Linked DNA regions of Alligator mississippiensis. The protein of the gene in region 4 interacts with the protein of the main gene of each other region in a biochemical or structural test. Links are inferred from orthologs where the notes say so. Each region holds a gene or a part of one and is shown on either strand. Other genes may lie near its edges. The genes, in order: NR5A2, CFTR, PIAS4 and UBE2I.

Region 1 (7,316 bases), on a different chromosome or scaffold from region 4:
CTAGATTGAAGGTGAGTATATACTTTTATATTAACGCATTATTTTATAAGATAACTTTTCTTGACTATCATTGCTTGCTTCCAAGTAAATATTGAAATAGAATATTTTGTAGAAAAAATAAGCATTAAATCATGACAACAGAACTTTATATTGTTATACTGAAAGATTAACATCTTAGAACAACTACATTAGATTTTGTAAAGTTGAAATTTATTGAAGATACTACTTTTTCACTTTATCCTACAGAACAATAATACTCTGAATGTATATAAATCAACTAAAATCAATATTTAGGACAGTTAGGAATGAAAGTCTTTCTACAACTACATCACTTCACAACAACAAAATATTTAAAAGCGGCAGAGGCAGCCACACTGCAAAACAACCAGACTGGTGTTTTTTACATTTCTGCAAATGAAGTCTCTTTCTCTCTCTCTCTCCAAGAGGCTTCTGTATTCTGAAGAGGATTTGTTTTAATTTTGTGCATCAATCAAATCAAGAGAATCAGAAAGAAGCCAAACTACACATCTTTTTTTTTTAAACCAACATTTTTCCTTTACTTATATGAAACTATTTTGCTTCATCATCTATTAAGTAATTTATACTAAACCTTGCAGCTTTCACAGGTGAGGAGTCCATAGTGGTACCCAGACACTTTATCACCACAAACTGGACACAGCTCTTCAAGGTCTTCATCATAAGAATAATTCACCATTTTAAACTGAGACACTGGAAAAAGCAGAAAGAACACATTCAGTGATCATTTACATAAATAGTTCAAATCCTTTCCTTCTCCAACTATCATATCCACTGGGATCTGGGGAAACAATTCGTGAGAGAGAACCACCCTCTGCAAATTAAATACAAACTTTTTTTAAAGAAGAAAAGTCCACATTGGAATATGTAATTCTTCATGATCAGCAAAGCAATAGAGCTTCTTAACAAGTGAACAAAAACATAAACGTCATAGTTTTATACTCTTAAGAAACAAAGGTAGAGTTTGACAGAACTGCAGTGCTCTTGGACCAACCTATAGCCTATGGAAACAAAAACTAAGTCAAGTCACTTCATTTCACCACTTATCATGAAACATGCTTTTAGAAGTCAGAATGAAAACTGTCAAGCTTAAATGTCACTGATGTATTTCAATTAACTTTAACTCCACTGGTTTCCTTTGAAGTTCGGTTAGAATACCAATCTGTAAATATTTGTCTAACTTAAACTTGAAATCAACATAGTCAGCACTTTTGTGGTGTGTTTAATGTAAATCACTTACAGGATGAATTTAGGATACTATCCTGATGCCCAAAACCATTCATGCTGGATTCTGATCATCACCCCACCTGTAACAATATCCTGTCTTTCCATAAGGCCCCAATTGATCAGATTGAATACGAAGTGTATTTTGAATGGATTGGTTCCTTTTTCATTGACTTTCTCCTCCGAAATTGTTCTAAGTCCGCCAAAGCAGAGAGAAGCAAAACAGAAGAGACATGCAGGGGACTCTGGGTGTATTTTGGGTGGTAAAGTATGGGAACTTAATTCATTTCAGATCCTTCCCATTCTGATGAAGTTTAGGCAAAGTTAAACCCCAGTGATTCAGGTTCATGATCCTAGGAGACACAAGCAACCGCAGTGTTTGCTGAGATCTGAAAGATGCCCAGAATGTAAACAGGAAGGTCTGGTACTTTTCAAACTCGGAGCTCCCCAAACATCCCTGTGCAGCCTTAAGGAAAACTGGCAAAAAAAGAAAAAACTGCTCGGAAAACCTGCGCGCAGGAATCCAACAAAACCCCTGCCCGTGGGAGGAAAGGCGGAGGAGGGGTGGGGAGGAGGAGGGGTGCACAAGGACCTGAATGAACACACGAAACCGGGAGAGGGAAAGGGATCCTTGAGCTGGACCCCACCTTCCCCCTCCCAGTAGCAAAGAGCTCAGTCAGCACTAGCTGGTGACTCCCCAAAAGAAGCCCCCGCTGCTCAGCACTGAGCCTATTCCCTTCCCTTTTCCTGCCGCTGAGCCTGGCCAGAAGTGCCGCAGCGGTTGAGCGCTGGCGGCAGAGTCGGTGATGGACCCCGGGGCGGCAAAGTTAGGGTGGGTTTTTTTTTCCCTCTCCTTCCACTAGCATTCAGCAGCTGTCACGATATCGAATCGCCCGAGCGATTCAAAACTACAGTCGAGTCCAGCAGCAGCGGAGGAAGGGAGGGAGGGAGGAGGGAGCGGGGAAGGCGGCTGGGACGGGAGGGGAGAGCCGCGCGGTCCCGAGGCAGCGGGGAAGAGCCCGGAGCCTGCCCCGGGGCGCGGCCCTGCCCCGAGCAGCGCGGGGGCAGGTCCGGACAGGTGGGCAGAGGCTCCTTGCCCCTCTCCCCGCCCGCCCTTTGCCTGCCTCGGGCAAGCACCGGCTCCCCCATCTTCCCGCGGGGGAGGGAATAAAAGCCGTGGCCTGGGCGCGGGTCTCGGAGGGCGGCCGGGAGCCCAGCGTCCGCTGCCTCGGAGCGGCGCGCAGCGAGAGCCCGCGGGCCCCGGGATGCAACTCCTCTGGCGGGGATCCCCGCGCAGCCCCCGCGGGACCAACTTCGGGGATCGGGCCGCCTGTGCCCCGCAGCGGGGGAAGTTGAGCCAACTTGGCCCGGGGGAGGAGCGGGGGGGCGGCCGCACGCCCCTTACCTTGCATGTTTTCTGGCATCTGCCCCTGTTCCCCATTCGACCGGGCGAGTCCCAGGGCTTCCGTCTCCACTTTGGGCAGCATGACCGGGCGGGCCGGGCTCGGGGCTCCGCGCGCCTCCGGGGCACCCGCACCTGGACACGGCAGCAGAGGTTTAGGCGGGGCCGGCAGCGCTGCCCCCCGCCCCCGCCCCTGCCCCCGCGCACCTGGCCCGGCGGCTCAGAGCGGCGGCCCGGCGGCCCGAGCCATGCGGGGCCGGCGGCTCCCGGAGTTGCGAAGTTGGGACCTTCCCGGCTGCCGCGTCCGCGTCCGCGCCCGGGCGGGGAGAAGCGGCGCTTCCCAGCCGGCTGGCGGGGCCGGGGGCCGCGGGCGGGGGTGGGAGATAGCGAGTGTGCGAGGGCTCCGGGGGGGCGCCCCGCCAGCCAATGAGCGCCCTCCCCAAAGCCTCCCCTGCCCCTTCCCCTGCCTCCGCCCCCGCCTCGCGGTTGGTAAAGCCTCCTCGCCTCGCACCGCCCGCCCGGCCCCGGAGGTGCGGGGCCCTGCCCCTTCGCCGGCCGCCCTCACCCTCACCCTCACCCTCACCGTGGGGCTCGTCTGGCTCTGACCCCCTCGAGAGCCGGCCGTGCGCGGAGCTGAGGCCTCCCGAGGGGGGGCTTTGCCAAGCTGCACCTGCGCCCCCGGCGTCTCCCTGCCCCCACGAAGGGTCACCTCGCTGGGGTCACTTGAGCTCTTCCTGCCAGCGCCGGGGGCTGGACCCGATGATCTACCAGGTCCCTTCTAGCCCCCTGACAAGCTATGAGTCTATAGAGCCGAGCGGGGGCTGGCTCAGCCTCAGTTTCCCCCCTCCCAGCCCCGGCGAGCGCCCTAGACACCCCCTCCTTCTTCCCGGGAGCGGGTCCCACAGCATTTTTTGGTCTCCAGAAGTCGGATCCGCCCTGCCAGCTCTCCGGGGACGGGGATCTGGACATTTGCTGGAGGATTTGAAAGCCTCATGCCGTGGCAAGGCAGGGCTTCACTCCAAATCTGCCGGCCGGGCCCCAGGAGTGTGGGGAGCTGCCAATGCATGACCGCCCCATTAGCCGTTCACATGTTTTATATCTTTATAGATATTTTATTAGATATTTATTGAGATTAGACGAGCTTTATTCCCTCCCCCCGCCCCATAAAAGCAGTGATAATAACGCATGGGTGCCTCCTTTCAAGCAAAACGGGTTGAGCACTAAAACGCACCTAACAAGCCAGAAGGGGCTCCAGGCAGCACCCAGCTCCCCCACTGTAGCGCGGTGTCGTTGCCTTCATTTATTAACCAACCAGGTGCTGCCAGACAAAGGTCCTTTAACAGGCGACAACGGGCTCGGTGTCTAGTTCATCTGAACTTTTCCTGCCGAGCCACTCAAAACAGGATCTACACCCAAGTCCGATTCACCGCGGATCTTGGTGTGGCCGCTGCAGGAGAGGCTCCTTCCCCCTTTCTGCCTAAGGGATCGCCAGGCTGGGACCCGGGGCATTTAGCCCCTCGTGGGTTTCGGGGGAGACACTTGAAAGAGCCAAGTTGGGAGAAAAAGTAGGAAACCCCCTGCCCATTATCAAGGCTAGTTTCAAAGCCGTCATTTCCTAGCTCAGCACCTCTGCTGAAAGTAAGTTTTACACACATCCAGCCCTGGTGCAAGGGGTGGGGGGCTTGAATCTATCCCCTGGAAGATGTCTTCCTTCCTCCCCTTCTCTTGGACAGGTATGAAATGAGAGCACGCTGCTCTGGCCTTTTATACATATCATTTACTTAATTAAAAAAAAATACTCCCAAACTTTGCTGTTACCAGTTGGTTAAATAAGCCCAGGGTTTTCAAGCCTCCTTGCTGTGGATCTGATTTAGGTTTGGACTGTGCTGTCCCCGGCCCCTGCTGTTGGCAGGGGGGAAGCTGAGCCGAGCCTCCGCGGGACCTGCCCCGGGGGCAGCCGGCAGCTGCCCCGTCCCCGCGCGCCCCGCCAGGCGCCGGGCTGCTCCCCCGCGGGAAGCTCAGCCTCCCGCACCTCCCTGCTGCGGGAGAGGGATTATTAAAACCGGAGCCTATGACAGTATTTACAGCAGACCTTGGAAAGTTAGATTAATACGTATCCACAACAGATCGTCGGTCCTGCAGCTCGCGAAGGTTTTTTTTCGGAAAAGAATAGGGTGCGCTTTCTCTGCCCTTTCAGGCGAGGAGGGGGCTGGATGGCAGGGGGCTTGGAGCAAGCCTGCCCTCGTTTAGCTCAGCAGAGACCATCCGGCAGCCCCGTGGCCCAGAGGGCCACCGATCCAGGAAGATCGAGCCCTTCAGGCTCGGGCTTTCTTCCTCTACGCACACCGAGACCAGCCTGTCTCTGCTCCCCAAGCCCCTGGGTTTGTCCAGGACAACCCTGGTAGAAACCCAGGCGTGGGCAGTGCCCGCAGCGGGGCACGACTTGGCCCCAGCTCAGACTGCGCATCGCAGAGCTGCCCCGCGAGTTATTAACCGACATGGAAATACTTTAGAGCGGTTATTGCACAGCTCCATTTCTCCGAAGTAACGGTTTAGGGCAGTACGCATTATAAAAGATACCTGGTCCCTCGTGGCTACATTTAATTTAGCTTGGACTTTTAGCTCTCGCAATTGCCTTGAGCAACCTTAATTACCCTTTCTTCTAAGCTCCTTGCTAAGTTCTCCAAACTTTTTTTTATGTGAGCTCTCTCCTGAGTTTGCCTGCCTTGTTCTGACTTTGCCTGAAGGTCTTGATTGACGCGTGTAATTATAATTATAAAAGATGATGGCTTGGGGAGCCTCCAGCAGCCTTGATCAGTACAAGGAGCATGGACCTAGAATATGTGATGTTTCCCTGTTCCAATGTATGTGCATTTACATTAACAATATTGGCTGAGTTAAGTTCTTTTAAAGTCACGGGCTTCTTCAGCCCCTCCTGGTTTCTGTGTCCCGAGCTCTAGTTTCCGAGCACTTTACAGAGGCCAGAGTTGGATAAGTCTTAATGGGTCTCTCACCAAGCAGGGGCAAACGCTGTGCTATCTTTGCGTACAGAAAAAGTATCTTGCAGAGAGAGTGATATATGTATCCGTGTATGCACCCATGCACCCACACACACGCACATTATACACAGTCAGAGATATATATATATATGTGTGTGTGTGTGTGTATGAGCCAAACGCTTGTGTATATATATACATGCATCAATCAAGATACACATTATATATAGTGTGTATGTATGACTATGAGTATATTTATACAAATATATGAGTACACACATATTTATATACATACACACATATATATACAAATACACACATGCATTATTTATATATCATTTTATATATACATACACATACATTATATATCATCTTATATATATACACATACACATACATACACACATACATTATATATCATATATACATAAACATATGTACACATACATATTTATATATCATATATATGTGCATGCACATACATGCACATACATTATTGATATATCGTATTATATATATACATACACATACATATATATTATTTATGTCATACACACACACATTATTTATATGTTTCTTTTGGAAAGGTAAATCTGGCAGAAAGGAGCCCTTGATCAGAGCAGGCAAGGGGAACTTTTTGCCCCCCACCCCCAGCCCTCATACAGAAATAAATGGAAGCAGACTGTAAGTGCTGCTGGGAAGTCTAACTCCTAAAGAGTGTTACAGGGACAGATTCAGGAAGGAGCAAAGTTTGCATTCTCTGCCTCGCCTCTGTTAAAGCGGCACGTTTGCAAACAGAGTCTATCAAATTTATCAGATGGTGAAAAACGGAGGCTGTAGTCAGATGGGAGGGGGAAGAGCCATTATCAGCCCCGCTGTCCAGAGTCCACTTGCTGATGCATCTCCCCCCTCTCCCCTCCCAAATACAACACAACAGAGGAGGCACTTTGCGTCAACTTCGCGGAGCACGGAGTGCGAGGGAGCTTTTTGCAACCGGAGAAGTGCCCTTCCCTCCCCCAGCCCTTCTTCCCCTCTCCCAGTATTTCGGGCACATTTATTCCGGGAAATGAACCGTCCATTCGACCTCCAGCACCGCATTTTAGGAGATCCCTTTCTCGGATATAGCTAGTACTAAGCACGCCCCGGCCAGCCCAGAGGAGGCAGAGAGGAGAGGAGGGCGAATCCCTGCCGAGAAAGTCCTAGTTCTTCCCCGCTTGGAAGAAGGACTTTGCGCACCTTGAGATTCCTTGGGCAGGGACTCAGTGCTTTAGGAGCTCTTAGAAAGTCAACCGCAGGGAAAAAAACAAAGCCGCCCTTTGCATCTGATGTAAATAACACAGGAAAGGGGGGGAGGGTCCGGCCTGAAATACTTTCTCCGGGAAAATGTACATCAGAGGTGATCAGTCCTTTCAAAAGTCTATTACACTGGTCTATATTGAGTGCTTCGCGGATGTCTTCCTGAGATGTCGATCCTCCTACTCCGAAAGGCAGGACTGTTTCGAAGCAGTCAATTATTGACTGCCCAACTATTTTTAAAGAACAATAAAGCTTACAGCTGCACACTGGCATGGACTGATGTCTCGCACACCCCAGAGAGTGAAACTTAGCGAGGGCTTTATAGAAGGAGGAATACAGCTGGTTAAGTTAGCGGCTGGGGC
Region 2 (7,955 bases), on a different chromosome or scaffold from region 4:
CAATACACAAATAATAGGCAAATAAAAGTTTTGGAGCTCCTCCAGTCCCTCAGCAAGAAGAAAACAAAGAAAAAGTATTCTAAACTGTGGCCTGCTTAATGAACTGCATTAGTTTTTGTCAATTCTTTAGGGGCTTTTTGGTGGTAATTTCCTATCACGAAGTACATCTTTAGTCAGAAGGAGAGAAATACCACGCTTTGTGATACTTATATTCAGTATGTATTTGATAACTTTGGAAACTCTTAATACAGTTTCCTTTTCATTTTTAATTTTGAATTCTGGCAAATGAAAGAACAGTAAAGTATATTCAAAGGGAAAGGTTAATTAATTGGAGGCATATTGTCTAGAAATTCTGCCTTGTATAAATAATTACTGAGTAGCAGCAATGTGTTCAGGACATTGCCATCAGTTTTGAAAACATAGATCCCATTTTATTTTATTAATAAATACAACTTATCATATGACAAATTTAATATTATAAAATACATCCAATCCCTTGGAATATACATAAAGACAAATATCTTCCATTAAAAGAGTTCCATTCAAAGTCATTGTCCACAAATGAGACCTGTGTTCTTTTCTTCTCTTCCCATCTTACTTTTAATGTTAGTGGACACACATTGCTATGCAGATCCGAACTATGCTGGAGAATGAGGGAAGTTTATCCTAAGGATTTAGGTTTGTTTTATTTTTTAAAATAATCTGTGAAAGAAAGTAAATTAGCTTATGATTTAGGATTCATTCCTGCAAGTGCTCCTTGAGTAAAAATGCCCCTGTAGCAGTACCAACCCCATACTCCAGTTGTTCTAAACTTTTTTTAGACTCAAGGTATTCTCCATCATTTTTTTTTAATTTAGCAGCACTCAATTTCAAAAACTAACTGTACTCCTTTTTTGACAACAGAAAAAATAATAAAGTGATTATTATGTTGCAAAGAACTCAAAAAGACCACAACCAGTCAACATTTTTTTTAAGCTATGGATTTCTATTTGAAATTTCTGGGTTTATTTTGTGAAACATGTGTAGGTGTTTGCACATCTAGCAGGGCTAGTATTGCATGACACTTTGTGACACCCTTAAAAGAATATCAAGGCACCCCTGGGTGTCACAATACCACAAATGAAAATCACCACCCTAAGCCATTGACATTCTGCTTACACAATTAAATATTTTGTTGGTCCTCTGGAGATGGTCAAATATCAAACAGTGCATGAAGTTCCCATTTATATAATATATATTTAACATGGGTTCCATTCATCAGCTGCAGCAAGGATATGCTAACTTTGATAGACTTTGCAGAAGTATGTTTTAAAGAAGGATTTGAACAAAGAGCGTGCAGGTGTCTTTTGCACTAGAGGTGAGGAAGGTTTTTTTAAAGTTGGAGTTGAAGTATGAAAGAAGGCAAAAGGTGAAAACAGGGAGAGAGAAGTGAGAAAAAAGGTGTTGGCAGAGTGAAAAAAATGGGAATAGAAGTGAAGGGAGTTGGTGTCATAAAAGTCTGAAAGGAGATCATGGAAAAACTTCCTTTGTTCAAGAAAGCCAATGGAGGGATTCAGAGGTGGAAGTTCTAAGGTGAGGATGGATCCTGAGGAAAATGATTTTTAGCTCTGGAAGAGAAAGGTGAAAGCCAAGGGGGTATGTGGAAGGTGAAGGCAGGGAGACTTAAGTAGGTAGAACTGAGAACAAGACTTAGCCCTGGATATTAAAACAACGGGATGGAATTTTCTTAGACTATGAAGAAAAAATAGTTGGTAGTGGTGTGATATGTTGATATGGAAGAAGGCAGCCACAAAACTAAAAATGAGATTGCAAGCCTGAAACCAGGCCAGAAGTGACCCAGTTTTCCAAAACTAAGCCAACGACATGGTTGAACCATTACTGCCCGCAACCTAACCAGGACTTTAAAAGCAGCTGAAAACTCTATTGTTCTAGTGTTTCTGGTGTCCTGTTACAATTAAGCAAGCTGAATTGATACCTTCACTAGTCCTCACTCACTCTTCCAGATCAAGCCATTGCCATCCACATCATGATATAATGCTAATAAATATGTACATAATCATACCTTTCTAATTTTTCAGAAAGATTATCTGCAGAGTCTGCGGAGGGGATCTGATAAATGTCTGACAATTCCAATCGCTGTCTGTAACCCTTTTTCAAAATTGGGTTTGTCCACCTAAACAAAAGAAGATTTATTACTACATTCCAAGATTCGTTTTGGAGGGACGTTAGCTATTTAGGTCATATCCAGCACTGCATATATAATTCACTATGCAACAGAGCATTACAAAATAAACCATAAAATGACACTTTGTTAACCAAGAATGTAGCTTTTGAATACTTTGGTATGTAGGTAAGGATAACATTAGTAGAACAGCATTGGATTTCTTAAATTGGATTATTTTATGCATGACTCTTACACAAACATTCCCCCAAAAAATCACTAGGAGTAGAGTGAGCAGTAGACTGGGCCTTTGGAGTTCTATTTTCAAGAATGTGTAGTCTCTGTGCTAATGAATATTACATAAAAATGTTGTTACATTAGAAACAGAAGTTAATCTTACAAGTAAGGAAATTTAACTTATTGTTTATATGCATAACTGTTCACTTGGCAATAGACACTGAAAATTATGTGTGATCTTTTGCAAGATCAAGGCATAATGGATGTGCCAATGATAGCTTTTATCCATTATTAAACATTTTCAATTTTTTTTTAACTTTAATACAGGCCTTAAAAAGTACATTTTTAGCACAATGTTCAGGTTAAATAATAATCTCCATTAATGTTAGTGGAAACTACTATGACAGATAGCCATACTTTCAAGGAATAACTGAGTTATAATTTTTGGACACTTAAAATGTAAGAAAGATTTTGGACCTAATCTCATTCCTATTGATATTGGTTCCAAAATATCTATCAACTCACAGAAAAAAAACCAAGAAGATAATCTTAACTAGCTGCCCTATACGAGTAACACTCGTAGCTGATTCATTACAGTCATTAGTAACTGTAATGAATCAGCTATTGATTTCATGGTACTCCTTACATGCATTATAGTGCACACTACTTGAAATGAATCCCCAAGGGATCCTGTTCAAATTTTTCATCATATTTTATTAATAAGGTCATTTGAAAACATAAGATTAAGAAAAATGCAATTAACAAGCATCTTTAAGATACATAGTAAAGTACATACAGTAGTAGAAGTACCATTTTGGAGATGCCTAAGGTTACAGTGAAAATAAGCTTTACTTTCATTGTTAAATATAATCGTTTTCTACAAAATAATTAAGTAGATAACTGTAAGAAGTAGGTTGCAAGTAATCGCTGCATGCATTTTTATGTGTCTGTCCATCTGTCACAAAAATACATTTTATGATTACAATTAAAGTGATGAACAGAAAATCCTAGCCCACAAATTTGAAGCCATCCAAAAGAGAAAAGACTTACAAGATATGTTTCCTAAAAGAGACAGTCTGCAATGAAGGGCCAAACAAAACTTTAAGGAATATATTAAGAGGGTCATTTCAAGGCTAGAAGTTGTTTATTGGAGGTTATTTTTAGTGTAAATGTCACTCTGTGTGTCTATAAATGTGTATTATATAAAGAAAATTAACCTGATTCTTGATTTATATTAAGGCCACGTTATATTCTTCTGGCAGCATAAAGGACGTAAGTAAGTATAAAAGTAATATTATGCATGTCATACAGAGGCCTCTCTGTAAATGAGGTGCATAATGCATGTGTATGACTCTTAATGTTCATGTGTGTACACACATAATCTAACATTACAAATATTTTAAAAGATTATAATCATGTGAATAATAAATCAATAATCCTGCTAATTTAGTCTATTAAGCATTTGGGGAAATGAGATGTATTCCAAGTGGATAATTATGCTTAAGCATTTTTTTGGAGAATTTTTTTAAGCAATAAAAGGATTTTCTTTCACTTCTGCAACCACAGAAATCCTCTGTTTCAGATAAATTGTTTGGTCTCAGCTCAGTCTTTAGCTGCAGTTTACATGAAAAAGTGCACACAGTTCATAATATGTCACGGTAAAACCAATGATCAGAATATGCTTTTGAAAGTGGCAAGGGGAAAACTGTTCAGGCTGTTCATGAACTCTTTTGCTGCTGAAGTTAGGGAACAGTGATATCAGAGATACATTTCTAATTCTTGTGAATGCCTTCATATTTAAAATAACTCAAAATCTTGTTAGGTAAAAATCCTGGGTGGTCACCTCGAAGGATGAGCTAGGTCATGTACAGGATGACAGAAAGGAACTGTGTACATGGCTTGTGCAAACACTACTAATCCCTTGTCCTTTGGGAAAAAAAACACACTTGCCAATTTGTTTCATAAAAGAAACTGCAGTACATTCAGAAAATTTGGCAATCATGAAATGAATAAAACTGAGGGAATACTACATGACTACTGCAAGTAAGCTAAGATAGTTCTGAAGAGCGCCTCCCCCCTCCGCCCCCCTCCCCACTTCATTCCAAAGTATTGTTGTTTAATAAGGGTGACTGCCCTTGACAGGTACCTTGTAAGCCCATGCATAATGCTCTGAAACTATACTAAACAATTCTTAATCTATCTTGAGACAAGGAAAAAAAAGATTTACAGTTTCATACCCCCTATATTTTGGGAAAACAGTCTCTACTACATTGTTTCTTTCTACATTTTTTTTATTTGCATTTTTGATTAGCATCTAACTGGGCATTTTGCCACAGCCTGAAGAAACAAAATTTACTGTGCTTGAAGCAGAGAAGTTGTTAGGAAGGGAGCATAAGTAAGTCAGGTCTACTGTACTCATGGGAATGTGGTCTGAGTAGCTGATCAACTACAACTCTTTGCCCATCCCCTCACCTTATCCTAAACTGGGTGTATTTTGCCTTACCCTAATTACTGGGTAAGCACCTCCTGTTCTACCTTAAGAATGGATTCGATTCAGCCCTGCATCCACAAGAGTTGCAGTATTCCCACCCATGGAGATAGTTACAGTCAAGGGTGATTCACTGCTATGAGCAGGGAAGCAATGATGCCATCTTCCTCCAGGAATTCCCTCCAGGCTCTTCTAAACTGCAGTCAGGATTTCAAAAGTTGAGTCTACACAGAGGCGTATGTACTTCCAGGGTGACCTGGCATTGCTCTGCATCCCCAGCTTTGTGGGCTAACTTGCAGGCTGCATCAGCTGACTTCAGATCTCTAGGAGACAGTTTGCGTCATGGCGCCCCCTTTAAGATAGATTTTCAGAAAATGCTTGGGAAAGTGCTGTCAGAAAGAATATCAGGCTTTGTATACTTTCAAAATAGCTTGCACCAGCTAGAAGGCTATATAAATAACCCATCATCATAATTTTAGGGCCAGATTCACCATTATACTCGGGGGGGGGGAAGGAGGGGGGATTTTCACTCCTCTCTGTAAAGTGAATATAAACCTAGTTTAACTGGCCATATATATCAGGCTTATTAAAAGTTTGCACTGCCTTAGAACAATGGCACCAAAGATTTTCAGTGAATCTGGCCTTTAACATTCTGAACTCGTTAGGAATACCAGCATTAATTCCTCATTTCTGGTTCTCATTTCTCTTGTCATGGCAAAATCTCTTTTGACACAAAGAAAGCAAGGATAAAGATAAACAGATTGGCTTTAAAGTATTACGTTAACAAATGCCACCGGATTACTGGCTGGCATTTAATGAACTCTTTCACAGGGAAACCTGTAGTGCTGTCAGAGTCTTGCCACTAACTAGGGATGTTATTATGGGCATATATATGTGAAACCCAGCAGGGAATGAGTTTCAAGGGTGTACTGTGGGTGAGAAGAAAAGAAAGAAAACAAGTTCCACCTCTTTGATTGATTGCCTGGTAACAAAGTACACACTATTGGAAAGATACAAAGGTACCATATACATGACACATTGTTTTAACTTCTGTTTGTTTGTTTCTTTTCTTTTTCCTTTCATTTTCCCTCCCTTTTGTAATCTATAACACATACCTACTGTAGCAGTTTGGTTTTCTAATTTGCACAGCCACACAGGCAAACTCGAACCTACTGGGCAACTTCACTTGCTTCTCTGATGGGCACCACCTTGTCTTTGTCATTTCTGTATTCTTGGCCCTGCTTAAGGCTGCTGTGCATCCTTCCAATATCAAAAAGCAGCTTCAGACTTGGCATATTTCACTAAATGGAATTTCCTCCGGCACAGGGGAATTCCCAGTACCACAGATACAGCTAGTTTCCTGCCTCCAGCAATCCTGAAGTAGACATGCTGGTACAGAAATCTGAATCTCCAAAGCACTACTTTTTGCTCTGGACCAGGGAAGCTCAACCTCCAGCCCACAGGCCAGAGCCTTGGCATCTAGCCTGCAGGACTCCCCATGTGTTGGATAAGTTGGCAGTGGGGGAGCAGTGGCAGCTAATACCCCCACCCTCACTGCAAAAATCCCAAATCCTGCACAGTGAGTCACAGATGGGCCATGACCCTCACCCAGGATGGCTCGATCAGGCCCAGGTCATGCTCCCTTCCCCCACACAGCTAGATCAGAGCTGGGCTGCCCCCTGCCCTCCTCTGCATAGCTAGATGGGGCCCTGTCACACTTGCCTTAGGTGCCACCACCTGGATCTGGCCCGCAGAGGGACTGGGCACTGCCCATCTGTCCTGCTGGACAAGCCAGTTGAGTACCACTGCCCCATTGCAACAATTTGGGTGTGACCTGTGCTACAAGGTATGCAGAGGAGCTGCCTGAATGAGCAAACCAGATGACCAATGACACAGCCATCATATGAAACCAGCTCTATAAACTGGTACAAAATGAAACCTACCTTCACTGCCTTCTCTTTTGGGTATCAAATATGTCTATAGGCACTAGCTAGGACCAATGCCTTCCCTCCCTAAGGAAAGTGTGTCTGCGTGCCCACCTTGAGACTGGCACAAGCATGTCCTGAAATGATCTGTTGTGTCTGGCACTGCAAACTTCTAAGTGCCCCCAGTACTTTTGGACTTAAGAGGTTCAAAACACTTAGGGACAGCATGTGTATTTGAGAAATTATTGAAGGATTTGGGGTTCAGGAACTAGATTAGACTCCTTCTATCAAAGACAGTCATCCCTGTTGGTAGAAGAAAGTAGAAACCACACACAGGTTTCTTTTTAATCACTTGTGGTAACTCCCCTTCAGGTATAACTTGAGGTGTGTAGGTAGTGTTTGCACCATCTATCCTCCCTGTAATAGACAGGCAAAGATAAATTCAGTCATCCATAAAGAAATTATGTGTCACCAGCCAACAGCACCAGCTTTCTGGAATTGTTTTCAGTACTTCAGGTGCTGCAGCAAAGTAAGATCTTATTATGGGTTTGATTATGTTTCATCCCCTCTTCCTGTGAATGTCCTATCAAACAAGGTTCTTCACTTGCTATAACTTTCAAACATTCTATGTTACTGAAAATTCAGTTTTCAGAAGATTCATTTTTAAAAGAACATGAAGCTAGCTATTAGCTCTGCTGAGGGCCAGCAACAGTCAGCTGCTGAAACATACAGCAATTTAAAAATACTGACCACAAAAGAAAGTGCTTCACTATTGCATATTAAATAACCCCATGTCAAACAATAAATTAACCTCACTTCCCACTATCTTTGCTCTACGAAACAGGATTTATAAAGTATAAGACAGAATTGTTTCCTAAATTTATCTGCAACAGTACTAAGTAATAAGATTTGCTAGATTTTTAAAACATTAAAGAACGTGAGAGGCACGATTTTTGTGGGTGATTTGTTAGGGGATTTGGGGTAAATTTGGGATAATTTGAGGGAATATCACAGCACCCTTACTCTTTTTTTTTTGGTAATCACTCACTCTGCTGTGCCTGCTTCTCTCCCAGAAGGAAGATTACTCTGATACCTAAAATTATGTTTCAATGTGTCCCAACCATGCACTTGGTTCAATAAAAGA
Region 3 (6,950 bases), on a different chromosome or scaffold from region 4:
GATAGAAGCTCTAGCAACAGTGCTCCCCCGGCTGTATGAAGAACGCCCTGTTTTAAGACTCTGCCACATCTATCCCAGTGTTATCAGCACTGCCTGCATGTGCAGGAGAATTCTCACATATGCCTGTTTTAGAACTGAAATGCTAACAAGCCACAGGATGATGCTCAAGAGGTTTTCTTGGAGCAGGAGGTAGGAAGACAGGCCAGGCCATCAATGACATTCACAGGGAACCCTCTGGTCAGAAACCCAGGTCTTGATGCTAGACATCCTCAGCATCTTCCCTCTTTCTGCCAGGATGTATTCTCTGGACTCTGTTTGAATATTTCATCTTCATAGCAGTCTCTGGTCACTGCAGTCTGATGTTTTTAAAGAATCCTTTCTACTCAGTCTTCCTGTGCCCACGGGAACAGTTCCTTTCCTTATCACCCAGGACTTCTTATCCTCTGGGTGAGAGCAGGGCCTATCAGATTGCCAGATGGGCAAGGATGCCAAGGGACTACTTGCTTCTCTGGCCCATGCCCAGCCACCCCTATGACCAGGCCCAGTGCCTGCCTCGCTACTGTTCTAATGGAGCACCATAAAACCATTAAGTTAAGGCAGACCCAAGGTTTTCAAGACCATTTAAAACTAGCCAATCTCCTCAATTTCAGCTTCTCATGCTTGTGGAAGTTCAGAGAGCCTATACCTGTTCACAGATTCAGGAAGACAACATTGCATCTGTCTACATTGGAAAGCTTATCTGCATAAGAATAAGAGCTTTTTAAATTAAAAGTAATGCTTAGATTCAGAGATTGATCATTCTGACCCTCCTGACTACCAAAAACAATGTCACAAGTGTTCAGGGTGAACCGATGAAGTGCATTTCCGATAAATGCAAACTGCCTTGAAAATGTTTCGCGGGCACCTACATTTATCACTTCAATGTACTTTGTGTTTTATACACAGTATTCTACAGCAGAAGGTGAAATCGGAGAGCCAGTAATGATCTTTCCATCTGAAGTCAGATTAATCTACGCAAACCAGTTGATAGCAGTATTCTTGTGATTCTCTGAAGAGGGACAAACTAATTTTAAACTAAAAAAAATGAAGTAAGACCAAAAACGTTCACTTGCCATGTTTATTTGTGGGAAGTAGTATTCAGCCCAGAAAGGCCTAACATTATTTTATTTTTCTCAGTTTACTATGAAAGCCTCTAACTTCCTGGTTCACTGAAGAGGACACAGAACTCAAACTCACTGGCTGGACTGAGACGCCGGGTAGCCGAGATGTTCTGGAATTTCTTCTGGCAAGGGGGAAAGGGCTTTGGAGAAAGTTCAGTTGCTTGAACACTTGTCTTAAGACTTGGGAAACCTGGGTTCATTTCCCTGCTTCACTACAGAGCTGCTGTGTAGCTCGGGATGAGTCATTTGGTCTCTGTGCTTCTGTTCTTCGTCTGCAGCATGGAAAAAAATAGGACTTTGCCACCCCGCAGAGTTAAGATAAAGAAACGTTAAAGACTGTGAGATGTCTACTGCAAGAGAGTCAAAAACACCTCCAAAAAAAGCTATTGCTGCACTTACTGTTCTTGCCTTCAGATCACTTGGGGCATCAGGAGCATAAAACAGTTTACATTTACGCAGTTTATATTTAGAAGCGTTTCAAGTCTTAAAAAACACAACCATGATTTTTGACCAATAAAAAAAACCCAAAACATTTAGGCACAGAGAAAAACAAATCACTAGACGCTTGGGTCACTCACTCATCAAGGAGCGGGTACAAATACAGGTTTCGTTAGCTAACGAGGTTATTTCAATATCAATGCAGATGCAGGCTTTCCCATAAACTAGGAGGTCGTGTGGGCGAGGGGCGCAGAAGATGGCAAGTTCCAGTCTGCCAAGCCCACAGATTCACACAAGTTTAGGGCTGGAAGAGACCTCACAAGATCATCTGGGCAGGAAAGACGGCTTGGCTCACACGTCACCCCCGCGCACCTTCGATGACCAACGTGTCCACGGTGCCTCCCATCAGAAGAACAGCGGGATCAAACCACCGGCATCCGTCCTTCAATCCTTTTGCCACTTTTCAATCCTGCCACGTCTCAGGCAGCGCCGCGAACCCTCAGCTGCCCCGGGCAGGCGAATTCCTTCCTTCCAGCCTAACCCGGCCGTACGCCAAGCACCTTCGGCCGTCGCCGGGTAGGAGCGGCGATTTGACAGGAAGCTTTGCCTTCGAGCTCATCCCCGGGTGCGTTCACCCACTTCAGACACCCCAGGGTATTGCACAGTGGGGCTGGACCACAAAGAAGAGCTGGGTGCTATATACGAGACAGAGCATCCCTTATATATATACACACAAGACTATATATACGGGATGCTCTGGAAAACTAGACGCGTTTTGAAAGCCCCTCCATTGAAATGCAAAGGTCGCCGGGACCCTCGACACCGTCCGGCGCCGCACGCTCATCCCCGAAAGCTTCCCCGGCCTTCGACGCGGACCTCAGCAAAACCATCCGCGGAGCGGGAGTGTTCGGCTGTGAATTTGTGCGCCGGGAGGTATTTGGACAGCTCCTCGCAACTTGCGCCAAAAGCCTTTCCAGCGGAGGACGCTGCCCGCCATCGCTTGGGGCCGGTGCCCCTCGCAGCCCCGCGAGCCGAGGGAGGGGGAGGGAGGGCCGGGGCGACCCCAGGGGCAGGCGGCGGGGCAGAGGGAGGAGGGAAGGAGCGGGGGCCGGGGCGGGAGGTCCCGGGCTGCGCGGGGGTCCCCCGGGAGCGGCGGGCGAGGTGCGGCCCGCGGGGGCGCGGCCGGGCAGGACCCCGGGGCACGGCCGGCTGCCGGGGGAGGGTCCGGGCGCGCTGGGGCGGAGCCGGGCCCCGCCGCCCCGCTCCCGGCCCAGCCCCGGGCCGCCGCCGCCGCCCGTGGGAGAGGGGGGGGAGGGGGGGCGCTCACTCACTTTCGCCTCCACCAGCTCCGCCGCCATCTTGTTTCCAGCGTCCACCGCGCCGGGAGCCGCCGCCGGGTCACGTGAGCGGCGGGGCGGGGCGGGGCGAGGGGGGCAAGCGCGGCCAATCAGAGCGCACTCTCGCAGCCTCGCTCCCGCCCCAGCCACGGGCGCAGGCGCAGTGCAGCCGCCTGCCGGCGCCGCCTGCAGCCAAAAACCCGCCCCCTCCGCCTGTGACAGCCGCGGGCTCTTAAAGGGGCCGAGCGCGGCGGGGATAGGGAGGGAGCGGGGCTCACGCCCAGCCCACGTGCAACCAGGGGCGGGGAGGTGCGAGCACGGGGTGGAAGGAGCATAGTCCGCAGTAAAGTGCTGTGCTTCCTTTGCTGTATTCGGGGTATAGCATCAGTCCTCAGGTTCAGGGCGAAGGCAAAGGGATGCATCTTTGGAATCGCTCCCAACCGCGTGGGTTCATGGGTGCAGGGTGTCCTTTGAGGGAACAAGGCCAAATCCTGCTTGCTTGACATGTGCGAGCTGCCCGTCGGGCTCCAGAGATGATCCAACTTGCGGGAGAAAGGGAGTTGGGATCGTTCGCCACGATGGGCTGGATTTCTGTCATTCCCGGGAGTACACACCTACACCTGCACACACCCACGCACACCCCTGCACGCATGCCCACCCACCCCCGCACCTACCAACCCACCCGCACCACCCTACTTACCCACCTGGGGACTGGGCTTTGACCCGCTTTAGTGTCCTGTGGGATTATGATCTTCCACATCTACCCAGGAAAGAAACTTTCATCTCTATCCAGAGCTTTTCCAACCTCTTCTCTGACGCCCGATGAAGGGTGCTTGCGCCCGAAAGCTTGCAATCCGAGAAACTGTTTTGCAAAAATCTAGCTGGTCTAATAAGAGGTATCGCCTCTACCACGAGTCCTGAGCTGAATGAAGTGTCTTGTGGGAGCATCCCATAAACTTGGCAGATTCCCAGGGAGGCCGGAGCCGTCCTCACCCCGGCCTTGCGCGTCCTGGCTGTGCCCGCGACTGACCGCGTGGCAGATTGGCTCCGTAGGAGCTTGATACCCTGGCCCTGCAACGAGGCCCAGGCTGATCTGAGCCTGTATCTTTCCCCTGAAGATTCTCCATAGTAGCCGAGAGGAGGAGGAGGAGGAGGAGATCCCACCGTTGCCCACCATAGTTATCCAAGGAAAACCTTCCAGTCTCCGCCTATCCCTGGGAAGTGGAACAGGCTCTGCCAGGGCTGATGAGGGGAGGAAGGGTAATATGCAGCTGCTGCTATCTCCTCCCTTCTAGTGGGGATCTGTACTTTGAAGTCCTCCCACAGACACCCATGGCTCAGGAAGGTCTGACCCAGCCCCCTGGGGCAGAGCCCCGAAAGAAGAAAGGGTCCATGGACCTGCTTCTGTTCCAGCTGACACACCCTGGGCTTTGGCACCAGGGATGTTAATGAGCCTTACCCATATGGCAAGATGGAAACAGATACAAAGCAAATGATGTCCTATGACTCAGCTGGAGTTGCAGTCAGGAAGATGCTAAATTTAGATCCTCAGATTTGCCCTCTCAAGCTCTGCTAGCCGGCATTGTCCTGACTTTCTGGGACTTGCTGTCCTGGTGGTGCAGGCCTTAGCACCGGCGACCCCAGAGTTTCAAAAATCATAAGTGTGACCCTCAAACGTCTTGTGATCATCTGAATGAACATTAATTTTAAAAACCCGCCTTACCCCACAGGGCTGTCGGCATTAGCTTCAAGGGGCTGAAGTGCTTTGGTGGTGTGGTTATATCACTGTGTCTAAGAGTAACAACCACAGGCAGAGATACAGGTTTTTGCATAACACTTCACACTCACAGCTCTGCCATGGCAGCAAAACCCCTATTAGATAGATAGATAGATAGATAGATAGATAGATAGATAGATAGATAAACTATAGGAGGTGCAAGAGATAGATAGATAGATAGATAGATAGATAGATAGATAGATAGATAGATAGATATTTTATCTATCTATCTTCAAAGTTGGTTGGCCTTTGATTTAAATATATTAACAAAGTAAGCAAAAACCCCCCTCCAAAAACCCAAAGAGAAGTATAAAATCGCACAAGTCTTTTATATCTTTTCCTTTTAGGAACCTTTCTCTTGAGCATAGGTTGAAGGCAGATTTCAAATGTATATATTTGCTTCAAAAGGTTTGGATTCCAACACAGCCTTGCCAGCCCTATGCAAGCAAAAATCATTATTCAAGACCCAAAATACCATAAGAGTACCTAAAAATGTTGTAAAACTATTTGGGACTCTTTTTTTTTTGGTTCTCATTTTGATTTCTACATGTTAAGGTACAATCAGTTAATATTTTTAGTCTTTTATAACACAAGAACTAGAAACTTCTCTTTAAAAATGAAAGATCAGATTTTCAAGTAATCCTTTGTTTCCAGGGGCAGGAATTAAAAGGCATGACCAATATTTTGTCATCCTAGAATAAAACAGTAAGAGGTGGCAACCCAGTAAACTAGGCAAAGGTGCTATCTAGTATTTGTTGGTCAAGATTTTCACAAAGTTTGATTCCTACATCCATATTTGGCACCTCGATAAATAACCTGATTTTCAAAGTAGCATAAGAGTGATTTTTGTAACCCTGATGGTCCAGACATTATGCGAGAGGCAAGGTTTTCTTAGGATGATATCTTTTATTGGGCAAACTACGTAGTTGGGATAAAGTGAGACAAACTTTCAGATGCAAGATGTTCTTCCTCAGATCTCACAGATTTTCAGAAGTACTGGGTAGTTTCTACTATAATCTTTCAAAACTCAAGTAACCGACATGGGCCCCAATTCTGACGAGATGACAGATGTAGTTTACAGTATGCACATCAGTGGGCTTAGAAACCTCTGCAAAGGAATAGGGCCCTAGATCCCTTTTCATAATTTTTGGACTTGAGGACTGTTTGGGGAGGGGATTTTTCTGAGGGACAAAGTAGCAAAACCGCCATGAAAATCAACAGGAGTTGTGCACCTAAGGACTATTTGTGCCTTTCGAAAGATCACGGGAAACAATGTTGTAAGTGTCAAAGTGACTTAGGAACCTTAGGCTAAAAAACGGAGCCCAGTTTATCTTGGAGCTGTTTGGCCCAGGCTTTAACTCTGCATAAAAACAGGCAGCAGGCTCAGTCCTTAAGGCATGCACACTTAATGGCAATTAACTCAATTATCCCCAACTGCCTTGGGAAAAGGTGTTATCTCCGTTCTTCACAGGTACCTAGGGTGGGACAATGAGCTTGTATTGCTGTAGGATCCCAGAATAGAAGGCTTTGGGGCAGGCAGGGAATCCTGTGATCTGTTTTTCAAGTCACCTGTGCATTTAAGAGAATAGTTTGCTTCAGTTATGTGCCCCTTTGCCTTAAAAATTTGAAGCTGGAGTCTCACTTCTACCCTTCAGAGCTAGATTTATAAAAGACATAAAGATCCACATAGATGCCAAGTGGAAATTACAAAAAAAAACAACCCAAAAAACACGTTAGTGTCAATGGAATTCAGATGACTCAACCGAGATCTTCCAAATGTTTGGGCCCCTAAGATCCGCTAGCTGAAATCAAGGAGTGATAAATGCTTAAGTAGAATAAGGGTGTAGGTTGTAGCCGTGTTGGTCTACGGACATAGGCAGACCAGGTTCTTTGGGTGAATCTGATAGCTTTTATTAGACCAACTTAAATAGTTTCCAACTATTTAATAGTTGGTCTAATAAAGGATATCAGATTCACCCAAAGAACCTTGTCTGCCAAATAAAATAATAAATAATACCTGGGAGGATCTGGGGAGCAGGTGTTTTTTAAAGTGCCATTTAGTGCCCATCTACAAATCTAGGTGTCTAAATGTATTCACTAGGCTGACTTCAAGAGCCTTGGTTATTTTGGAAAATGTGACCTAGGCACTTTTGAAAAATATTTCTCTGACCATGGCCACAGTTGTTTCCAGAATCAAATATTATCCATTTTTGCTGTTGTTCTTTGTTGAAAAAAATG
Region 4 (8,036 bases):
GTTCTTAGTTTTCCCTCAATTTTGACTGCAAGAAGGTAATAGAGCAATTCTTCTGTTGCAAAGACAGACCACAACAGGTCACAATGTTTTTAACACCCTGCTTCCTATTTGAAATCTGAGTTTATCATTATGTTTGCAACCCTAGCAGTGCTAACATTGCATGGTACTCCATGGCACCCTTGCAAGGATCTGACGGCATCCCAGGGTGCCATAGCACCGTGGTTGAGAATCACTGGTCTACTCGATTAAGAGATGTGTAAGCTTTCATAAGCAAGAGTTCATTTCAGCAGATGGCTTGAAAGGACACGCACAGAGCAAACTGTGTCCTTCTACAGCACCTGATGAAGTGAGCTCTTACTCTTGAAAGCTCATGCACCTGTAAATCACTTTCTGGCAGTGGTCAGCAATCTGTGGCCCCTGGGCTGGATCTGTGGCCACTTCCCGCGCCACTGCAGGGATGAAGACTGGCTGTGGCAGGGTCCTAGTGCCCACCTGGCCACCTCCAACCCAGGGTGGGTCATTCCACCCCACAGCTAAAAACGTTTGCTCACCCACATCTAGAAGGTGCATCCACACTCAACTTCAGACTACCATGGCTAACTATCTCTCTATACTGATTAAAGTTAGGTAAGTAAGAAAAGGATATTTGGATTTCACAATGCCAGAATATTTGCAGATTACCAGACACTGTACGTGCCATTAACCATCTGTAGCAAAACTGGATTTAATAGAAAATAAACACAAGACACTTTGATACTAATACTTATTTCAAAATATTCTCACTGTATCAAATTATAAAATAATTAATTTCATTTAGTGAACCAAGGTCAGCCCCAGCAGAATAAAGATAAATATGCAGTAAACCCTACCATCATCATAATATACTCAGTATTTCATCCTCAGTTTCTCCCTACCTGTTGCCAATCACAGCATGAGACAACAGATCTGTTAAAGCAATTGATGGTCCTCTGGGCTACACTGCAACCATCGGTTAAAAAACCATGAAAATCAGTTATGCTTATGGCTTGATACAGTATCCCTAAGTTTCAAAGGCAAAAAAAAGGTAACAGCTACTCCTAAGAAAAATATTAAGGGTCAAGTTTTGTTTGCGAATGCACAAATGCAAATTCCACAAGATTAACGAACAGTTATATCAGAGCAAATTTAATTAACCCATGCATTCTGTGACCCGCGTGGTACCAAAAAACCACCAACAAACGGCGTTTTCCAAAAAGTGACATGCTGCACCTTCATCTTCTATTTCATTACGGTAAAATTTTGTACTTCTTTTTCTAGCCTTCCTGCCTGCTCCAGCAGGTATGCACCCTGCTATGGACTAACAAGCCTGTGATTTTCTTATTATACAGCATAAAGTTCCCCTCATAGTTCAGTAGAAGGCATTAGATTCAGCTTAACACATCCATCAGAGTTCAAGTTAAACTATTCCCAAAGTGACCTGCAGACAGTGAAGTATTTTTTGTTTCCAACGTAAAAGAGACTATATGCAGGACTACCATCTGCATTAATGGTTTTATACACTTATACTTCAAGAGCAAGTTGAACTAAAATTTTTAAAAGGACCATAACACTATTACATAAATATTTTTCCTCTCATCTAATAAAGTTGATTTCCTACTTCTACCCACTCTCCACTCAATGTAAAATGGACATAGTTAGCTTCACTAATATGAGCGGGAAAATTAAGGAAACATTTTTAAAAGCTGTCACTGCTAAATATTACTATGATTTTTATATATTTCAAAACAAATAATCATAGTCATTAGATAGCACAACATTTTCACCAGCTTATTTCATTCAGCAAGTTAGTTTAGTAGGCAAGGAGAATATTTTAAAAAAGAAGAGTAACTTTAGACTTAAATTCCATTTTCAGAATTACTTAGAAATCTTTTAATTTCTTACTAGAGCCATACAAATGGATAACATTGGACTAGTCACATGATAATTAGTATATAAATCCAAAAATCACAAGATCTTTCACGTTATGAATTTATTTTCAAAATTTGTTCTTTTATAATTTAACTTGCATCTATCATCTGAGCTCAAGCTTGAAGACCTGGATATGGATTTCACAGCATACATATAGTGTCTGAGTTAACTGACTGTACAATAGAAACTAAAATGTTATCCCTGAAATTAAAAAAAAATACAGAATTGGACACTATAATACAAACCTAAATACAACATTTAATTGATTTTCAGAGCCTTTTTCTAAGGCTTATGACTTTCCAAGCAACTAGCCAGGAAAGAGGCTTGAAACAAAAGATTTGACAAAGAAAGAGATGTCAATGGAAAAAACCCCTTAAGAACCCCCCACCCCAAGAATTGGCCAAACATGATTTTAGCCAAGCTCACATTTCCTCTGCACCGAAGCGTAAACAACCCGAGCGGCAATGTGAAGAATCACGGTCTTGGTCTAGAGGGTAAGGTACAAGTCAGGTCTGCTTGGACTAAATTTCGTTCCCAGAAATGCCACAGGCTTCCTGGGTAAGTAACCACGGGCAAATCACTTCAAGCGACTCAACCTAGACCTGGACCAGGTTACAGACTCTCACATTTTCGGAGGCTCCCCCTAGCTGAAGAAACGTTTCTAGGTTCTCTCTCAATGTCAAGAGTTTTGAAAAGCTTCCCTTGAAGTGTTTACGCTGCAGGTTCCAAACACGAGGCCCTGGGTACGATCAACACTCCCATTCCCCAGATGTATGTGCTGCCTGTATTTTTCTTTCTGGACAGACAGTTGCAGATACAGACTTTACAGACAGCCAGTTTAACTTTCTTCTAGTAATGTAACTTGTAAGTAATACAATTCAAAGCTGGCCGCTTCATTTTAGTGTCTGCTTATTCACCTGTGGAAGTGGGAGATCACACACCTTGCAACATGTGCAGCCATGCAAAATGAACTGTGAACACATCAAAATCCTCAGGCAGAAAGTACCACGGACTTCTTATGGGCACTGACAGAAGATCTCTATTAACTTTAACCCTTTCTCATTCCAGACTCAGAAGCAAACCAAGAACCCCAGGGAAGATCTCAATGCTTCTGCTCTGGTACCCTGCCTGCTGGCACGCAGCAGCGTCTAACCACGCTGTGTGACAGAGCGTGAATGTAAACACCGCTTTCTTCCTCAGCGTGCTCAGAAGCACGGGTACGTTCTGCACGCTGCTGCGAGCTCGGCCCTCCGCAGCTCTTCCGATCGCTGGCGAAGAGTCCTCGTACGGATTATACCCCAGGTTCCACTCACTCCTAAAAACCAAATGCAAATATCTAAAGCTCGCCATATCCTGCAGAATCATTATTCTAATAATTCTTCTACGAGGACACAAACACCTGCTACTAAGGGAGAAGCCCTAGGTCATACGGGGCCAACAAGTGGCACGCGACAGACGGGGGGGAGCAGAAAACAGAGCAGCAGGTGGGGTGAGGACAGGGAGCGGAGCAGTACTCTGGGAGGTTTCATTTGTGGCACATCCACCAAAAAGGCTGGCCCCGCTGGGCCAGGTCACCATCGTTCGGAGGGGAAACAAGTTAGCCAGGCCTTCGGCAGCGTCCGGCCACGCCTGCTGCTGAGGCCAGCCCCGCCGGGCGAGACCGGAGAACGGAGGACCGTGCTCGAGCCCCCGTTCCAGCCCGTCCTTCCCGCTTCTCCCTTACCCCGCTCCCACAAACGGCGCCGCGCTCCTTCCCTGCCGCTCGGCTCCGACCGCGGTCCTCGCGCCTCCCTTTCGCTTCGCCTCTCGCTCCGCCCGCGCGGCGGCTCCAGGAGCCAAACTATGCGTTTAAATCTGGAGCAACGACTCCCGCCGGCTCGCCCTTACGTAAAGAACGGCGCTTTCCTTCCTAAACGTGGTCGTCCGCCGCCCCCGAGCGCGGGGCCTCCCCCGCCTCGGCAAACACCTCCAGCCCGGCCGCACCCGCGTCCCGGCCCCCGGGAGCCCCGGCTGCGCGCGGGCGGGCGGGCCCGGCCCCGGCCCCAGCCCCAAGCCAGCGCCGGGGCCGCCCCTCGTGCCGCACGGGGCCGGGCCGGCGGGAAGTTTGCTGCGGCCCCGCACAGCGCCCCGCGCCGGGCCTCGGCGCCGCCCGCGCCTGGGGCAGGGCCCGCGGCCTCCCCGCGCCGGGGGCCGGGGCCGGGGCCGGGGGAGGCCGCGCGGGCCGGGGAGGGGGCCGGGGAGAGGCAGGGGGCGGCCCGGCTGCCGGCACCGCGGCCCGCCCCGGCCGGAGCCGCCCCGCGGGGCCCGGAGGAGCCGGCGCGGCCGCCCTTCCCCCGGCCCGGTCCGGCCCTTCCCTTCCCCCGCCGCCCGGCCGGGCCTCACCGTGAGCGGCCGCAGCACCCGCGCGTGTCCCGGATTGAGGCGGCGGCGAGTGACCCGGATGTTCCCGGCCGCTCCCCCCCTTTGTCTCTGCTCCGGACTTTCCCTCCCTCCTGCTCGGCGCGGAGCGCGGCGGCGCGGCGTGTCCCTCCGCCCGACCCGTCCGTCCCGCTGCGCCGGCGCGCTCTGACCCTCGCCCCGACCCGTCCGCCACGCCGGCCGCCCCCGCAGCACGTAAGACCCGCAGGTGGCCAGGTTAGTGCCCGAGGCGCGCGGCGCTCCCGCAAGTCTCGGCTGCCCGGCCCGGCCCGGCTAACTCCGCTGCGCTCCGCAGCGCGCTCCGCTCTGCTCCGCTCTGCTCTGCTCAGCCCGCGGCCCTACCGGCCTTTTCCTGCAGGCACCGAGGTGGCCACCTGCGGCCTCAGGCTCTTAGGACCCCGGCCGGGGCGGCGGTGTGAGGGCTCGGAGGTGGCGCCGCTCGCCCTGGCCTCCGCCCGTCGTGCGGGCAGCCCTGCCCTGCCCTGCCCTGCCCTGCCCTGCCCTGGCCTGGCGCGCGCGAGGACGAGTCCGCGGCCGCAGGGAGGGGCCGAGCGGACTCCGGGCGGGGGGCGGGCCGGAGAGGCCGGGGCTCGCGGAGACCAGGCGGCCCCGGGGCGGGGGCCGCTGCCCGCGCGCGTGTCGTGTCCGGGGGGCGCAGCCCGGGAAGAGCCCGCCCTCGCCGCGGCCCGCTCCCGGGTGGGGGGCGCTGTCCAGGGCCCGGCCCGCGGAGCCGCGCCAACCGCTGCAGCGTCCCGCCCGGCAGCGCCGCCCGCCCCCGCCCCGCGCTCCCCTGCGGCGCGGCGCGGCGCGGCGCGGCGGTCCCGGCTCTGGAGTGGGCCTGGGCCCGCGCCGCCCCGGGGCGCCCGGCAGGGAGGTGTCCCCGGCACCCCGGGGCTGCCCGCCACGGCGAGGGTGAGGGCGAGGCCGGCGCGGGGGACGCGCTCGCCTGCGGCACGAGGGAGGCGGGCGTCGCGGACGCGGCCCAGCCCGACGGGGCGAGCACGTGCCGCTGGCATCGCGGCACTGCGGCCCCGGGCACCCGCAGCCCTGGCGGGAGGCGCCGAGCTGCGCGGGTCCCGCTCCTCGCAGCGGGGGGGCTGCGGCCAGCTGTCCTTGTGGGCGTCTGACCGCTTAACGTCGCGTTGGGTCTGGCCCGCGTTGGGAGAGACGCTGCCCCTGCGCGGCGCGACGGCCGTGCCCTGCCCTGCCCTGCCCTGCCCTGCCCTGCGTCATCGGCCTCTTGCCAGCGTACCGGGCAAATCAACGGCTTAGATTTTTTTTAAAGCCTATTAAAGAGCCGTAGAAAAGCAGGGCTGGACGGGGGCTCGGAGGTCGCGCGTCCGATCCCCTGCTCGAGAGAGGATCCCTCCTGACAAACCGACCTGGTTAGGCGTTCCTCGAACCTGCTCCGAGACGGCGAGGGGTGGAGGTCCCCGCGCCGGTCCACGCGTGACCACCCTCGCAAGGAAACGCTGCTAACTAACGCGTAGCGTAAATGTCTGTGGCTGCAATTTGAGACCGTTCTTTGTCCCGTCTCCTGTGCCCACAGAGACTAACCCTCCTCTAACTTCCCTTCAGGTATCTGAAGACTTATCGAATCCCTCTCAGCCTTCCCTACACGAAACGCTCCCGGTTCTTTCAGCTTTTCTTCCTAAATCCAGATTCCCAGATCTCTCATAATTTTTGTGGCTGTCCATAAAAGTCTAATCTGTCCACATGTCTCCGTGCGATGCTCAGACCTGGACGGAGTATGTCGGACAAGGCTTCACCAGCGCTGTCAAGGGTGCGAGAATCCCGTCCCTTAATTTGTATTTAAATAATATTCATTCAGTACATACTTTCTGTCCAAGTTTAAGGACAGTTTAAACACCTGAACTAGGGAAGTCACTGGCCAAGTGCCTGCGTGGTATTAATGCAGCCCAGGACGTGGGGCTCCTTGGTTTGGTTTGGTTTGGTCTGCAGCAAGACTCATTTTCAACTTACGGTTCACTGTAGCCCCGGGGTTCGTCCCTGCAGCCTGACCACGCGTTCCCGTTCCCAGCCTGTGCTTGTACCTGTGATTGCTCCTTCCTACCTTTAGGACTTCTGCGCTTGTCCTTATTGAATTTCATTCAACTCATTTTGGACCAGCTTGTCAAGATCATTCTGGATCAGGGGTGGGCAGTTACTTTGGCTGGGCCTACTTAATGAGGTTTGATGAGCTGTTGAGGGTTGCGCACATCACAGTCAAAACATCTACTGTAATGTGTTTGAATAGTTCGAAATAAAGTCCTACTCTTATATGTGGGGGCAGCGCTCGTGCGCTAGGTCCTGGGAGCTGACCGGCCGTGGGGGAGGAAGGGGGAGCGGGATGCATGCAGCAGAATTCATGCGGGCAGCGCAGGTTCAGGTGTGGCTCATCCCACCCCACCCCACCCCGTCCACAGCGCTCCACATGGGGCCAAGCCCACCAGACAGCACCGCCTGAGCCCCGGCCGGCACAGCTGCCCAGCGGGGCTGCTCTTACAGCTGCCCAGGTACCACTCAGCTCCCCTGCCTCCTCCTGCGCCTCTCTGGGCAGCAGTAGTGCGGGGAAGCCGTAAGGACCCGTGCTGGGAGCCGGGTGCCCAGACAGGCCAGGGAGAAGCTGCGGCCAGGCAGCTCCTGCCCCAGTGTGCAGGGCTCCGGCTCCTGGATGCCTCCCACCCGTTCAGCTGCCCACAGGTGTTCATTACACTGGGAGGGCAGGATGGGTGGAAGGCAGCCAAGAGCTGGACCCGGAGCCCTACACGCTGGGTATCTGCTGCCTGGCACACGTCCCCACGGCTTCCCCATGCTGCCTGCTGCCCCGAGTGGCACAGGGGGCAGGAGGAGGAAGAGCCACTGGAGGCAGGGGTAACTAGCAGTACCTGGGCAAGTGTGACAGCAGCCCCGCTGGGAAGCTGTGTGCCCTGGCTGGGGCGGGGTGGTGCTGTCTGGTGGGCCTGGTGCAGGAGCAGAGCAGACTCGGCCCCATGCAGCGTGCTGCAGGGGCGGCTGCAGGCTGACAGTCAGTTGCTGGGCGTCTGCTCGTGGCCAGGTCCAGTCAGTTGGCAGGCTGCATCCAGCTTGCAGGCCATGTCTTGCTCACCCGTTCTGGATCCTAGCCTCACCCTCCAGTGTCTGCACCTCCGTCCAACTTGGCATCATCTGCAAATTTGCTAAATGTGCACTCAGTCCCATCCTCCAAAAGTTCAGGAAGCTATTCAACAGCGCTGGACCCAGGGCAGATCCCGGGGAACCCATTCGATGCCTCCTTCCAACTACACATTGAGCTACTGGTGACTACACTTGCAGCATGATAATCCAACTAGTTATGTATCTACCTTACAGCACTTTCATCTAATCTGCATTTCCTTAGCTCACTGAGGACCGTGTAAGAGAAGGCATCAAAAGCTCACTCCAATACAATCCAGCTGATGTTTACAAGTAGGAACAAAAAGTGCTTGGTAGCTGCAGGTGGTGATCAAATTACACCCTGCAGCCCGGGCATGGACTCTGCCCTCCTGTGAGTGACAGTGCAGATAGTCCGGACACTTGCATGGAAACATCAAATTCTTTCTTAAGATCCATTCAGTGCAATTTGCATCACTTGTACTTCGCCACAGCAAGATTCAAAGCTTAATTAAACATTGCAAAGATTCTCCCTTGAT

What was found.
Region 1: of the proteins of UBE2I (region 4) and NR5A2, one has a biochemical effect on the other in vitro, tested with the Homo sapiens proteins (2 studies listed by BioGRID). The link is inferred for Alligator mississippiensis from reciprocal best matches to the Homo sapiens genes UBE2I and NR5A2.
Region 2: of the proteins of UBE2I (region 4) and CFTR, one has a biochemical effect on the other in vitro, tested with the Homo sapiens proteins (2 studies listed by BioGRID). The link is inferred for Alligator mississippiensis from reciprocal best matches to the Homo sapiens genes UBE2I and CFTR.
Region 3: the proteins of UBE2I (region 4) and PIAS4 form a complex in vitro, tested with the Homo sapiens proteins (4 studies listed by BioGRID). The link is inferred for Alligator mississippiensis from reciprocal best matches to the Homo sapiens genes UBE2I and PIAS4.

Annotation. Positions count from the first base shown.
Region 1 is NC_081828.1:67,865,765-67,873,080, reverse strand, and holds the start of NR5A2 (nuclear receptor subfamily 5 group A member 2), read right to left. Parts: upstream 3,022-7,316; 5' UTR 2,870-3,021; intron 2,853-2,869; exon of another isoform or gene 2,798-2,852; 5' UTR 2,748-2,797; coding exon 2,666-2,747; intron 1,690-2,665; exon of another isoform or gene 1,320-1,689; coding exon of another isoform or gene 1,277-1,319; intron 730-1,276; coding exon 611-729; intron 1-610. UniProt on the Homo sapiens protein: Orphan nuclear receptor that binds DNA as a monomer to the 5'-TCAAGGCCA-3' sequence and controls expression of target genes: regulates key biological processes, such as early embryonic development, cholesterol and bile acid synthesis pathways, as well as liver and pancreas morphogenesis.
Region 2 is NC_081827.1:48,757,043-48,764,997, forward strand, and holds the start of CFTR (cystic fibrosis transmembrane conductance regulator), read right to left. Parts: upstream 3,033-7,955; coding exon 2,967-3,032; intron 2,230-2,966; coding exon 2,063-2,229; intron 1-2,062. UniProt on the Homo sapiens protein: Epithelial ion channel that plays an important role in the regulation of epithelial ion and water transport and fluid homeostasis. Mediates the transport of chloride ions across the cell membrane.
Region 3 is NC_081839.1:5,585,872-5,592,821, forward strand, and holds the start of PIAS4 (E3 SUMO-protein ligase PIAS4), read right to left. Parts: upstream 3,037-6,950; 5' UTR 2,957-3,036; coding exon 2,930-2,956; intron 1-2,929.
Region 4 is NC_081836.1:59,499,721-59,507,756, reverse strand, and holds the start of UBE2I (SUMO-conjugating enzyme UBC9), read right to left. Parts: upstream 3,012-8,036; 5' UTR 2,909-3,011; coding exon 2,889-2,908; intron 1-2,888. UniProt on the Homo sapiens protein: Accepts the ubiquitin-like proteins SUMO1, SUMO2, SUMO3, SUMO4 and SUMO1P1/SUMO5 from the UBLE1A-UBLE1B E1 complex and catalyzes their covalent attachment to other proteins with the help of an E3 ligase such as RANBP2, CBX4 and ZNF451.